Linked DNA regions of Astyanax mexicanus. The protein of the gene in region 1 purifies or fractionates together with the protein of each later gene. This does not show direct contact. Links are inferred from orthologs where the notes say so. Each region holds a gene or a part of one and is shown on either strand. Other genes may lie near its edges.

What was found. Proteins that work in one complex are often made in the same cells at the same time.
Region 2: the proteins of srp9 (region 1) and srp54 purify together in Homo sapiens (co-immunoprecipitation; 4 studies listed by BioGRID and IntAct, counting the BioPlex papers as one, with this or other methods). This does not show direct contact. The link is inferred for Astyanax mexicanus from reciprocal best matches to the Homo sapiens genes SRP9 and SRP54.

Annotation. Positions count from the first base shown.
Region 1 is NC_064408.1:58,149,212-58,156,250, reverse strand, and holds srp9 (signal recognition particle 9 kDa protein), read left to right. Parts: upstream 1-4,460; 5' UTR 4,461-4,606; coding exon 4,607-4,678; intron 4,679-5,484; coding exon 5,485-5,553; intron 5,554-5,650; coding exon 5,651-5,770; 3' UTR 5,771-6,446; downstream 6,447-7,039. Other genes in the region: henmt1 (small RNA 2'-O-methyltransferase), read right to left, coding at 37-498, 612-792, 1,654-1,836, 1,957-2,091, 2,976-3,091, 3,196-3,303. UniProt on the Homo sapiens protein: Component of the signal recognition particle (SRP) complex, a ribonucleoprotein complex that mediates the cotranslational targeting of secretory and membrane proteins to the endoplasmic reticulum (ER).
Region 2 is NC_064421.1:19,054,741-19,062,772, forward strand, and holds the start of srp54 (signal recognition particle 54 kDa protein), read right to left. Parts: upstream 3,078-8,032; 5' UTR 2,828-3,077; intron 1,072-2,827; exon of another isoform or gene 1,067-1,071; 5' UTR 936-1,066; intron 847-935; 5' UTR 823-846; coding exon 745-822; intron 633-744; coding exon 541-632; intron 454-540; coding exon 369-453; intron 1-368. Other genes in the region: uncharacterized protein zgc:109986, read left to right, coding at 3,539-3,635, 4,689-4,810, 4,912-5,050, 5,139-5,260, 5,461-5,571, 5,668-5,774, 6,554-6,653, 6,984-7,100. UniProt on the Homo sapiens protein: Component of the signal recognition particle (SRP) complex, a ribonucleoprotein complex that mediates the cotranslational targeting of secretory and membrane proteins to the endoplasmic reticulum (ER).

The sequences.
Region 1 (7,039 bases):
CCTTTGTTCAGTTAAACTTTCCTTTAAGCTAAGACATCAGCCAATTTCAGTCTCCCAGTCCTCTTCTGAGTTGTCAACTACGGGGCTTGGTGTCAAATTCCCCTCCTCACATTCACCTGTTTCCTCTTCATCTTCCTCCTCTTCACCCTCATCAGGTAGTATAATAGCATCTCTGTCAGTATCCAGCTGCACACGCGAGTCGTCCATCAGAGCCTGTCGAAGTCTGTGGATGTTTCCACACAAAGCCTGCACTTTGGGGTCAGTCCACACATGTTGCAGAGGCACAAAAACATGGCTTCTGTGCCTGTATACCACTGTGCTCCCCGCCACAACGTCTGGTGGTAAACTGTGGGCACATGCAGTGAGGTCAGACTGCATGCTTTGCTCACCCAACTCAAATTCCCTTTTCAGGCTCTCTGCCCTGTAGAGGACTTGACAAACCAGAGTCCTCTGGAAGATGTTGTTGTCACACAGGCTCGGGTAAACCACCCTGTAGAGCTAATGGGGATGAACATGAAAGCATTTCTATTAGATACACTTGCTATGTATTGACATTTTATCTGCTATATGAAACCATGTAGGGAACAACCACCATAAAGAGGCCACTTTACCAGTCTGTAAACTGTAGGTTCCATTTGCACAGCGTTGTTCACGGGTCCATTTGATACCCCAGCATCTCTTTGGAAAACAGCAATTTGGGTGCAGAATCCAACATCTCTGTTCTGACCTGGAGCCACTCCTACGCCAGTGAACTCTACTGAGTAACCATATTCCATGCAAACTCCCAGTGCCCTAGTTGTGAGAGAGAGGTGTAATAAAGTTTTCCTGAAACAAAGGAATACTTGCCTCAAAACCATGATGAAAAGTACACTACATATCCAAACACAACTAGTGAATGGTATATATTTTACGATTCACAGAAAAGCTTTGCTTAGCTGCAAACATACAAAGTCCACACAACATTGAACAGGGAAATTTTGTGTTTTCTGAAGAGATTGCATTTCAGCAAATACTTAAGGATGGGTTGGGATGAGTTGGAGTGGATTTAGTCATCCAGACCTATTCATATACATACAGTTGTTTTAAAATAAAAATGTTTGCCACCTTCATGATTTTTTTTGTCTCTCTTACATGTTTCAGATAATAAAACATAAAAGTAACACCACATTTCAGAAAAAGAACACCATACCTACAGTAAAACATGGTGGTGGTAGTGTGATGGTCTGGGGCTGTTTTGCTGCTTTAGGACCTGGAAGACTTGCTGTCATAAATGGAACCATGAATTTTGCTGTCTACCAAAAAATCCTAAAGGAGAATGTCCTGCCGTCTGTTCATGACCTTACACTAAACCAAACTTGGGTTCTCCAGCAGGACAATGATAAAAAAAAAAAAAAACAGTTCAACAAGTCCACTTCTGAATGGCTGAAGAAAAACAAAGTGAAGACCTTGGAGTTGTCTAGTCAAAGTCCTGACCGAAATCTTATTGAGATGCAGTGGCATGATCTTATAAACATGAGCGACAAACATGCAAAACAGTTTTACACAATATCCTAGTGTTAAGGCTATAAATGTTCAAATGAGGGTGTAACTGCAACAAAGTGGGTCTGAATCGCAATGAATTTTCTTGATGTATGTAGAATGACAAAATCTTACCAAGTCTGAAACTCTGCTCGGGTCCACTCAAACTTGTGGTCTTTGTTTCTGAATCCCCTTAATCCCGGGAGCAAAGGATTGAACTCTACATTGGGAGTGCTGATGATCACAGCACAGGGATTCATATATCCAAACACAACATTGGAAAAACCCTCCACTTCCCAAAGCTGGAGGTGTTCAATCCTTTAAGACAAAAAACACAAAAGGAAACAGATGACTGTAGCTGGTGATTATTTCAAAATTGTACCACTCAGAGTACTAAAGCTTATGATAGTATTGTACAGGAAGTCCAGACATACTCACAACTCCATACATGTCACAAGGTCAAAGCCCTGGGTGCATGGCTCCCTTTCTGTGACTGACCCTTGGTAGAGTTCAATGGTCAGAGGCCTGGGACTTGGCTGAAGGTAGTCAATTGTGAGTGGGGCCAATGCATTCCTAAAAAAAAAACACACATGCCCAGAATTTACAATTTAGATTTAATATACTCATATCTAACAGAGGTGCTATTGAATCCAATATTAAAAACAAGAGTTTAAACATTTTTCTTAGAACTTTGAACGTGAAGAAACACTACTACTTATTTGTTGAGAGTTGACAGAAATGTAACGGTTTGATCTGAATTTGAACACATGAGTGCTTACAAAGTGGACCTCCAACCAGTCCTGAAGCCTTCTAGACTGTCCACATTTATGCTCACAACATCTGAAGTTTGAGTAAAAATGTGGAAGAATTTTATTGTGAGCCTTTATGTGTTTTATACATGAAGTTATATGGCGTCAAAATAGGGTCAAAAGTTTTGAAAACCCAGTATAATCCATAACCAAGAAATGTTTAATTTTTCATTCGCCATAAAGCTAATGGTGATGAAGTAACTAATGGCAGTAAGTGTATTTTTTAATACATTACCTTACAAAGCATTGTATGTACTTCTCCTATATTAGTGTGTGTTTGTGTTTGTGTGTGTTAGGCCAAAACCAAAAAAGTTCAGGCATGTTTTAGAATATTCATAATTAATTTTATCACACACTTTCTGACATGTAGATTTGTAAGGTGTTAGCTGTAAATAAATAAAGTGTAAATAAATCTGACTCTACATGTTTCTCTGGGATGGACAAATTCAGATCAAACCACTCTGGATTACGTTTACACCTTTAATTTATATAGAATGGTTTTACAAACCTACAAAATTCCTCTTCAGGGTGGTGAAATGTGTTAATGGCTGGAATTAAAATACTCCCCATATTAAGCCATGATTCAAGCTATAGCTTAATTTAAGAATGTTTTTAATGCATTACTGAACTAGTCCTACAGTCACTCACACTCTCTCTCTGAGGGCAGCGCAGTCGATGTCGACTCCTGCCAGCACTTCTATAGCGTTTCGGTGGAACTTGAGCTTCCTCAGGAGCCCACAGTCAGCACAGCCCAGGTCTATCACCTGTGGAGAGGAGGAGAACCGCGGTCAGACAGCGCTTTGAGCAGCTCAGCGGGTCCTCAGCAGATCAGACATGACTGGGATGAGGGTCGTAACACTGGATATACCTTCCTGGGGATGAACCTCTTAACATACTCGATCACAAACTGGTATCTCTGCAGGTAGAGAGGAGGAGAGAAAAGAGCGGCCATCCTGTCAGAACCGTTTCTGCACATATCAAAGAGAAAAAATAAAGAGTACCCAGACAGAGGAGGATCTGGGCCTTCTACTCTGGACGCAGAGAGCGCCCCCTGTGGTGGACTAATATATACCTCAATTTACCCCTTTTCAGGTTCAGCCAGTAACTGAAATAAAAACTGTGTAACTTGCAGTAATTTATTAGGGCTTTTAAGAAACACAAATGAACAAAAAACTGAAATAAATACACTTTAGCATTTTGGTTAATATACTGTAAAAGTGTATTATGAAAAAGCCTCTTATTCCTTTTTATTATTATTATTTCCAATTTATTGATTAACAGTAGCAATGGAAATAAACTTAGCTTTAGAAATATATTTTTAATAAGAATTTCCACAGCATTTATTTGCAGTAATGAATACCGATACAGATAGCTCTGTAACTATTAAAAATAAATTGGGGAACTATTAGTAAGAAATTGGAGAAAACTGGTACAGTAGGAGGTCAGGCTGACCCACATGGCAATGCCTTTAGCTCAGCTTAACACTGGACTCTTAGATCTCATTACCAGTAGTGAAGAGAAGAATTAGACGCCTGAAGTGCAGTAATTCACGTTATTGCTTTAAAGATGAGAAAATAAAAAAGCATATTGTCTGGGACATTCAGCACTGACACTGGACAACTAAAAACCTGAAAATCTATATAAAGTGGTGTTCTAAAACTTTTTGACTTTAGTATATATAAATATACTAGGATATTCAACAGATTTTTGATCACACTTTTTCAATTCATTGTTTTAGATGTAGGAAAATACACACAGCATCATATATAGCTATCAATTATGTAAACAAATGATTATTTTACAGTTTTATGGCAGTCAAAACCGTACAAGAAACGTGTATAAAACTTTCATTTATCTGTTTTTTTTCTTCAGCCTTACAAGCAATTTTTATATTACAGGTTTTATAAAGTAAAGAAAATATATAAAGTACCCATTTTTACCGCCTAGCGGTTATGAATACATTTTATTCTTCTTATTTTCAGTGCTTTTAATTTGTAATTATCATAAAGGCTTCTCTGATACCATGTGCCTGTATTTTGACATGCTGTGCGTGTGCCTCAGACTAAAATGAGCATGCGCAGAAGAGCATGGCAGCATTGTGAGCTGTGATTGGTTGGTGTCTTTCAATCAGTGAGCTGCTTTTAGATGATGTGGCCCTGTGTGCTGCTCTGTGGTTCTTCTCCGTGGTGTAGAGCAGCTGCTGGAGCTGTAGTTCATGTTAAAGTCTTCAAAAACACTCTCTGCTCTCTGCTCTGACTCGGTGTCTGTCTCTCTGGAGAATGCCTTATTACCAGACGTGGGAGGAGTTCGCCCGGGCGGCGGAGAAGCTCTATTTAACCGACCCGATGAAGGTAAAACCGAGCCGATCTGCTCACCTAGCCTAACCTAGCTTAGCATAATTTAGCTTAAATTAACTTAACTAGCCAGGGACCAGCTGTCTTGTGTTGTATTTCATTTAAAGTTCTTTTACAGTTTCAGTATTTAGTACAGAATGGGGGAGATTACAGTCTCTATCTGTTTGTGAACATGTTCTATACCGCTGTATTTGGTAAAGGAGTCCATGTGTAGCTGTAGCAGAGCTACTAATCCATACAGCTCTATGCCTTATTCTGAGTCTTAGTCTCAGTCTATTCAAAGTCTTTTTAATAGCATGTGTTCTCTCCAAACATGTTTAAGGTCAATAAATGTGTTCTAAAAATTTCGCATAATCGCACAAATTATGATTTAGTCGCTGTTTTAATTATACAGAATAGTGTAAAAGATTTTAGTGAAAATACATATATGAGAATTATACATAATAAAATGAAAACACATGACTACAATTCAGAACTAAGCATAAGCGGTAATGGGTTAAAAAAAGGGAATAACTGTACATAGATTCCTGCTGGAAAATTTAGAATAAAGTTATGCAACGTGTATAAAAAATAAGATTATTATTGAGCCCTCAGTAACACATTCGAAAAAAAGAGCGTTTCATGCTTTCTGTTGCTATACAACAGACATGGTCTTATTTAAATAAATTGAATTGAGTTTGTCCAGTTCATCTAACCTAGCTTTTCTTACACAGATTCTAGCTTTTCTTTTTAATGTCTTTTTTACTGTGTAATGCTTGATTCTTTTATTAACTTTTGTATTTGCCCATTGTCTTTCTTTCTAGGTCAGAGTTGTGCTTAAATACAGACACTGTGATGGAAATCTGTGTATGAAAGTCACTGATAATGCTGTGGTAAGTTTAAGCTCTAGAACACTAATTAATAAATAGAACATTAATGAAATTTCTTATGTGTGTTGATTTAATCACTGTGGCTCATTTCTGGTTTCAGTGTTTGCAGTATAAGACTGATCAGGCGCAAGATGTAAAGAAGATTGAGAAGCTGCATGGGAAACTGATGAGATTAATGGTTTCCAAGGAGTCCCACAGTGGTGCAATGGAAACGGACTGAGTAATCTTTTGGGACTTTTAATTTTTGGATAGCAGTATGTATCTGCTCTGCTGACATTATTTGAAGATCATGGAATTTAAGAGCCCTGTTTTTGGAGTATGACAACTGGGAGGGTAGAGGAAACCGATGTCCTCAGCTGCATTCAGCGATCTCCTCATCCTGATATTTATTTTCTGGTCCCGGTTGGACTTATTATTAGGCAGTGATCTTGTATTATACATTGCTGGGTGACCAGTTTTTTTTCTGATTCTAGGTCACACAGAGCTTGATTAGCTTATACCTGGAAACAGCAACTTTTCAGTTATTTTGGAAGAGTCTTGTTTGTGTTTACTAGCTCCATTCCTGGGGGCACAAATGCACTGCATGATTGTTTGTTCCTGCTTTGAAACAAAATGCTAAATGCAGCTTATAAAGAAGTTGACCATTTTTAAGTTATATGACACTCAGGCAGGAAAACATATCTTGCAGGTGGAGTACAGGACTGGAGCTGGGTCTTTTAGTGATTATGTTACCAGTATGTTGGGGCTGCCAGCAAATACACAAACCTGAACCTTCTGAGAGGTCCTGAAAACTAGTGTCAGAACCACTGATTTGTACTTACTCACTGGACCTTTACTTTCACCCAAGTCTTCTGTTAATGGTGCATACATCTGGAATAAATTTCTTTCTTTTTTGAGATCTGAGACTTTTCTTAAGTTACTGTTTTCCTGCAGAGGTTCTGTTTGTTAAAACTGGTTTGATTTAAGTGTAATGATAAAGCAATAATTTAGCAGACTTCCAATCAGTCAACACAATGAAAATTAATGAGAAATTTGAGTGTTCACGTCCTGGTATTACAACCCTCTGGTATTCTGTTTTAAGTAAATTAAGATAGCTTGACATTAATGTTTGGCATTTTATACCAGTTTACAGATCACCTTCATTGTCTTACTACAGGTACATTGTCCTGCTTAATAGGAGCTAACTTGATTTAGTTGAGTCCTGTAGCTGGGAGAAGTGCAAAGCATTAGTGTCTACCTCATAGTCATTGTCGGTAACTCTTACAAAAGAGGGGGAAAAAATAATAATAATATGAAAACTTTATGATTTTTAAACATTTTAATTAGTCCATTAATTAAGAAACTGCTTGATTGACACGTTTGACACTGTAACAGTTTGGATAAAAAATTGTTTGTGTGACTCCAACAATTTATTAAATGTAAGTTTGCATAAATTCACAAAAATGTTTTTTGCAGCTTTGCCTCTGTATATATTGGATGTGTTTTGAAT
Region 2 (8,032 bases), on another chromosome or scaffold:
ATAACATATACTATGTTCAATACAACGACAGTCTGGGCCACTATGTTCAGTGTTCAAGCCTAGAAGAGTATACACTAACCACTTCCTTGAGTTTAGAAAATGTCACAATACTAAACATAACAAAATGCAACATGGCATTCCCCTGTTAAGCCCTAATATAGACCGATTCACTTTGATAACATAAATGATGATTGTTATCAGAGTTTGTGTTGTTTTTATTTTTTTGGGGCGCAAAGGGCAATGTGACCATGTAAATAAAATGTTTACGTAATGCAACACTATTTTAAAACTTACATAATGCAAAGACATTAACTACAGAGTCATGCACGTCCAAAACATAGGCTAGTCTGCTCTAAAATGGCACAAACCTTGACAAGCTCCTTGAAAACAGCATGCTGGATCATTCTTCTCTTATTCAGCCCAGAGGCCATCTCCTCAAGATCAATGGCTGCCCTGAGAACAGGAAAATATGACTAAGCATTTTCACTGATGAAGAAGGCAGTCATCATTTTTACACAAAATTAAAGATATTAAACTTACTTGACATTCTCCCTCAGCTGTTTTACCAATTTGATGTTGACATCAGCTTCCAGTAAGGCTGCACATACTTCTTTAAGCATAGCATTCAAAACCTAAGGAAGATTTATTTAAGATGATAAATGTGAACAGTAAATACAGACATTTCTAGATCTAAAGCAGATTTTATAGACACAGAAATATGTTAATATGTTGGAGAACAGTTACCTCCTCGTTGATGATGGTGGCATTGCTGAGAGATCTCAGCGCGGAGGTGATTTTCCTCCCCAAGTCAGCTAACACCATGTTTGCAGTTTAGGAAGAGGCGACCTGTAACATGATGGAAGACATAGGATGCTGATTTTCTGCACTTACTGACAGTGGGTATAGTTATAAATATACATCAGATATTTCCATACGTGTTAGACAAAGGCAACCTCCTCGCTAAGGTGGGGGATTCCCCCGTTCAGAGTTCTTCTTCTTCTGTAGTTGTGTGTGTGTGGGTGCGAATGACCCGATTAATCCAGCAAATGAGTTGCAATGTTGCCGTCTGTTCTAGAAAAAAAAAAAAAAAAAAAAAAAGTCATTTTGAGTGGTACCAATATTAAAACATAAGCTTTAATTAGACTGTAGGCCTGATAACTGTTGCTTTAAATAAGTGCATTTGGTACCCTCAAAATATAATAAAATGTAGCACTTTGATAACATAAACATAAACATGATAAATAAACAATGAACAGATATATATAAAATGCAAATGTTTAGTATAGTCTTATTATACACATTTTGTACTTTGTAGTACATCCTTCAGTAATCTTAAAATAATAATATTTTTTGTCACTCGGTCACTCTGATACTAAAGCCACTGTATGCATGTATAAATATAGCCTTGTTTTTTGTCCTGGAAGTAGGCAAAAAGGTTACCCAATTACACAAAGAGCAAAAAAGTTATATTTATTTATTGAGCAAAATTTTCAACATTAACACTTTTTTTGCTACTTTCCAAAATTCATATAGACAATCTAGAAGGCAATTGGAAATTAATCCAATATAGTACTTCTTTATTTAATTGAAAAGTGTTGTGTGTGACAAAACAATGCTGCATGCAAATGAAAAGAACCTCATTCTAATTCCTCCTTAATATTTTAAGTCAATATTTTTAAACATGAAAAAATAAAAGAACCAGTGTCAGAAACATCTAAGTTAGGGCTTTTATCAAACTTCTCTTATTTTCAGTAAATAAACAGCTGTTTGAGGCGAGCAAGATTGAGGTGACTGAACGCTGAACTTATTAGCTAGTTTAAATCATGTATGACCTATATGTTATAGCATGTTACACCTTACTTCACCTCAACTTTTAAATGTGTACTGTGGTTTTTGTGTCTTCTGTATTTATTGTATTGTTTTAGGTATATGTTGCACATTTTGTTGCACGTTTGCATTTTGTTGTCTATGTTGTATTGTTTGTCCCATGTTACACCAATGTCCAGGAGGAACGTAATTTCACCGCACAATTTACCTGTACACAACTGACTTGACGGTCTAAGATTAAAACATACTAGGCTAGTTGGTTAACTAGCACTTGGCCAGCAATGTGTAGGTTGTTTTTTATTGCATTTGGCTACTTTGGCCATGCTTGGTCTTGCTGGACATGTTGTTGGATCAGCTTGGAGGTGCTGTTATGATTAACCATCTTAAAAGCTAGGTTAGTGTTAATTTTAGTCAACCAGCTTGTTTAAGCTTGGTCATATTAACTGTTTGTCAGGTTGATCATGCTTGTATAAGATCTAAACAGAAATATCCAGTTCTGATCAGCCAGCCTAACCACTTTGAATTGGCCAGGTGATTTTTGTTGTTGCTTTTCATCTACCGCTGACTGCAATCACAGATGGCTAATGATAGTTTTGTGTGATTTGTACGCTAGTTAGGTTAACTAGTTAAATACATGATATTTGGATGAGGTAAAGTGAAATAATGCGAGTAACACACTTAGCTAATATTTTAGTGTATAGTAACTTAAGATACCGTGGTTAGCTAGCTAGCTTACTAACTAGCTTAGCAGTTAACTACATGTATATGGTTGGATGTTATTTTCTACGGCTAGTTAGCTTTAGCGTTAGCGTTTGCTAGCTAACTAGCCACAGTATCCTGGACTCGCCAAGACCGGTCCAAAACACAGGACAGCCCTAATCTCCTGTACAGATCCATGTAAAACACAGATACCTACAGCGTCACTGTCTCGTTGAAGATATAAGTGTGTGTTTATATGGTTATTAATGTTAATATTATTATTAGAGGGTTAGCTTCTTACCTTAGCTCCCTTCGACACAGCTGGTTCAGTAGAAAGCAGGCAGACGTCAGCTAACACACAAAACTCCCATAAACCCTTTCTACTTCCGAGGTAACGCTGGGACTCAGTGCGCTGATCTGGAGTCAGTTATTATTCGTTCAGCCTGTTCAGCTAGAAACGAGTGTAGAGAGACAGGAAAACAAAACTGACCTAGAATCAGTGGCTGCTAGTGTATTCGCTACAGCGAAAATTAGCTAGCTAACTATAGAGCGTTAGCTATTATTGTACTCATACTCATACTCGAAGTGAAAAAATCGACGGAAAAAACAAGATTAAACGACCCCCTCTTTCGCTGTTTAATCAATATCAAAAGCCATCGAAACCGTTCAGCGCACATTCGCTCTTAAGGTGGATTTGCTTCAGGAAAAATACTACAATATATTTGATGTGTGTCCTCTCGGTTCTTTTACATTGTTAATAGTGGGTTATCTAAAATAAATATTATTTTTGATAAGTAATTTAACATATTTACCCTTTTTTTAAGCGCAAACGAGTTGTATTATTACTAAATAATGTGACTCCGCTATATATGAAGATCCACCTTAAAAATACTAAGGGCATATTTGGCTCCTCCCCTAGACTGAGGTGTTGTGGATTCACGTGTTCCTCCAGTCACTGCTACCGCTGCATGTAACGTTATTTCTTAGCTAAACCTCTGATCTGTGAAGGAAAATGAACTTTAACGAGGCTAAGAATGAAATTCTTCAGACATTAGGCAGAACGGATCCGCAGGAGCTCGCTAAAATAATCGATTGGTTGAAAAATTCTGGTAATTATTTAATGTATAGTATGTCACAGAAAACTAGTTAACCTAGCTTAGCTAACCTAACTAAACTCTTCTTTAAGTTTATGGCAAGTACTTTAGTCTGAAATGACACCAATGATGCAAGTTATAAATTATGGGTCTCTGTAATGAAAACTTTATCAGATCAGATCAGCTGTGACATGTTTATCAGATGTGGCTAGTCATAATACCAGGGCTAATTCATATCTGACGTAGTTTGCACTAGTAGTAATATAGGTGTAGGCTATGTGATCTGTGATATAATTATAGATATCCATAATTGGGATTTTTTACGTCAATATTGATATCAGTGTTATTGAATGTATGTTTTTTTAGAAATTAATTATAGATATCTGTTACTGGAGTTTGTACTAGAAATATATAATTATTGCTTAAAAGAGAGTAAAATTCTAGATATATCAATGGTAACATACAGCAATTTAAAAATGTAATTACAGATAGATAGATAGATAGATAGATAGATAGATAGATAGATAGATACTTTTGATCTCAGCAGCAACAATACACAAAGACAGCAGCAAAATACACTCATAAAAAACAAGAGAATGAATAAACATACAAAGGGTATAAAACAGTGCAGTAGACAGTGCTGTATGGATATATCATCCTGGTCATATGACTAATCTTCATATATCTCAGATATGACATTATTGCTAGTAATAATTGCATAGCTGGTATCTATAATCTAAAGGCATCACAGTCATCTGTAATTTAAGTTTTAACTAGAGAAACAGAGCTATGATTGTGTCGCTGGTGTTATTTCTAGACTAATTTGTAGACAGCTTGCAATATATATTACTAGTATGCTCCTTGTCTTACAGCTGAGACCCTAAAGTGTCTACTATTGAGTAATTTTACATGTTGCAGCATAAGATTACCTATTTATTATTATTTTTTTTTCCATTAAGTAGGATTGTGTCCAGTGCTATTCATTTTAATTTATATGTTTGCATGTAACAAATAAGGCTGGATACAGTGCAGTTAATCTATACCCATATACTGTAACTTCTGTTTCAGATGATCTTGATGACTTATTGGTTGACAATCAAAAGGCCATACTGATGAGTATTGCAGAGGACCTCAGGCCTTGTCTCCCCTTGGAGGCTATGTTTCCTTCAGAGACCATGGCCATTCAGAAGGTCCTCATTTTCATTCTGTGACTATCGTCATGTTAATACTTTTATTGCCTTTAATATGATAAGTAAACTGTCATGACATCTGATTTCCATTTTCATTGCAGACCCAGCAGACCTCTAAACCAACAGTGCATGTGGATGCATTTCTGTATGATGAGGAAACAGTAGATTCTCTCTGTGAGGAGAGAAAAATGAGTCGCAACTACTGTCTCAACTGCGGATCGCATAGCACAGCTCCCCTGGGTAAACAACATTTCTATTATTTTTAACTCAGTCATATTTGATAAATGTGGTAGAAATGTTTTTAAACTCAGTTTGCTATGTCCTACAGAGTTCATCTCACATTCATTTTCTGTGTCGGAGCTCCGGTTTTTGTTTCATCATGTTCTCCCTGACCTGACTGGAAGACTGGTTATGGATGTGGGTTCGAGGCTGGGAACAGTGCTCTATGGGGTAGAGTAATCCAAAACGTTTTGTCACATATGCACCACAGTCTATTGCCACATTAAAAAACATTGAGTATACTGTCACACAGCACTACATTCAGTTAAACAAGAATAATGCTGCTATCTTGTAGATATAAGGCCCTTTTAACACCTTTATTCACTTAGTAATTAAAGTACACATTAAACGGATCATCTCCTTTTTAATAGGGATACCTCTACAGTTCAGCAGCACGGCTTGTTGGTGTAGAAATGAGTGAAGAGTTTGTCAAGCTTCAGACAATGGTTGTGGAAAAGTACGCTTTCGGTGACAGAATTCAGGTAGTGCACCTTTTTACACCAGTTCTACCATTGTCACTGCTACACTTACCTTGACATGCTGTACCATGATTTGCTATTTCTGTGTGCCTTCCTCAGGTGATTCATGCTGATATCTGCACACAGGCTGCCTTAGTGCAAAATGCAGATGTGCTGATTATGAATAATGTGTTTGAGTATTTTATGGAACCCAAAGACCAAGCAAAGTAAGTCAGTTATTTGTACACTTATTTCAGTTAGTGCAGTCAAATAAACGTTAATTTGTATTGTTAATAGTTCATGTCTTGACTTGTTAGATATAAATACAATACATTTTATTTGAAATCCTACAATAATAGCTCTTGTTTTTTGGTTTGTCGTTTTAAATGAATGAATACAGTCAGGTTCATAATAAAACTGTTGATTACATCCATTGCTATAAACTTAGGATGTTGTCATGAGTATGATGTACAATACATTCAAATGTTTTCTCTGGCATTTACATTTCTGTTATGTCAGTAACAGTCCAGGAAGGATTTTTTTTGTTGACAATGCATTCAAAACACAAAAGAGCATCAAAACAGGTCTGGGTCTTGGGTGATTAATTCTGAATTATAAATGCCACTACAGTTCACCAAATGTATTTGATGGCAGTTTGCTTAACGCTCCTCCAGGAAATGTTTGGCTTTAGGTTTGATCTTCAGATCTTTAGCCTGCAATTCACACACGAGAAGTGGAATTTTCCTTACTCAGTCAACCAATTCACTACATTTATAAACTATACATACTGGTTGGCCTACCAAAATTCCTCCAGCAACAGAAAGTCTTCCAGGAAGTGACAAAAGATTCCAGATATGCTCATAAAAACTGCAGGCTTTACTGACCTCAGACAAGGTCATTTATTATAAGGATTTGTAACCACTGAAAGTGTACATATTTGTCAACTGTTTTTACTCATTCATCTTCAGTTTTTACTCATCATAATTTCTTCACTTGTTTTAAACAGAGCCTGGAACTTTATTAGCCAAAATTTTCTGAAAAAGGGTGCACTGTTGGTAACTGTTCCCAGCATTCAAGAAGCCCTCATCTCGCTACAAGCATCCAACGTGAGCATATATATTTTTTGCCTATTAAAGAATGTCTTCATAATTGTAAAACCTTTAGGTATGAGGTTAAAAAAAATAGATTTACACATAAATTGCATATGCAAATATGGCTTTTGGAAGATGCCTTAGTCCAGAGTGATGTAATGGTATAATAGACTAATGTGATTTATTGGTCTAATGCACTGTGCTGTATCTAACACTATAAATGTCAACAAAGAATAAACTGACAAACCTGAGAGCAAGGAAAATGCTTAATGTAGGCAGTTTAAGGTGTGGTAAGGTTATTTAATATTTTTGTATTCTGCTGATTTTGTGTTTTCTGTGTTTTAGGGACTAACAGAAATTGGACACTGGTTAGAGGAAGTGCTGCTTGATTACAGTGCTTATCTGCAAAGTGACACAGAACTAGATTTCCTCAAACAAATACATCTCTACAGGGTGCTATGACCTAGAACACAGACACAACAGACTCAATACGGACTCCCTGGATGTAAGATTTTGCCAAAGAACCATGCCTTATTTGACTTGTTGGTCTTAAAGACACCTGCTTACAAATAAATTTACTTCATTGTGAAACATAATTATGATAATAATATTTTTTTTATTATTATTAAAATAATTTAAATAATTATTAAAAGGAATTACTTATTTTTATATGTGGATCCACATAGATGTCAGGACTGGACATCAGAGGAAAAAATATACAATAAAAATGGGATGTGTTTGAATTTGCAAATGGTCAAAACAAACCATGATTGTTAAAGGACCTGGCAAAAACAAGAGTTACACAAATGATGAATAAACATTTCATGGATATGTTGAAAACAGTCAGTCCATCAATTGTTATATTTTTCTCAATGAACTAAAAAGTACTAATAAGTTTCAGTACCTGCAGGTTTCTTTTGTAGATAACCACACCCAGCCATGCATAAAGGAACAATAATAATGTTGGTAACTACTGTAGAAACATACGTACAATGTTATGGTTTAATATTCATTGGTAGTGACAATGACATGTTGGCTCCTTTTAGTATTTAAATAATATCTTCTGCCTCAGTTACTATAAAAGTGTCCAAGTGGGACAAAAGCTAATGCCCTTAATTAAATACATGTGTCAGAAAATATAGTCTTTGATTGAAAGGAAAATGTAGTCTAGGACTAGGCCTAATCCCTGTTCACTACCGGGTCCAATTGTAAAGTTCTTTTATTTGTTTTTAGGGCACTGCATTGGCTTGCACGATCTTAAATTACTAAGTCACTAGAACCTCTTTCCCATTGCACGTCTTTGAGGATCTTTAGATCAGTTGCTCTTGGCTGTTTCTTGGTCTCAGCTAAAGCTTAAGGGTGGTCAGCAATTAAACTATGGAACAGCCTACTGC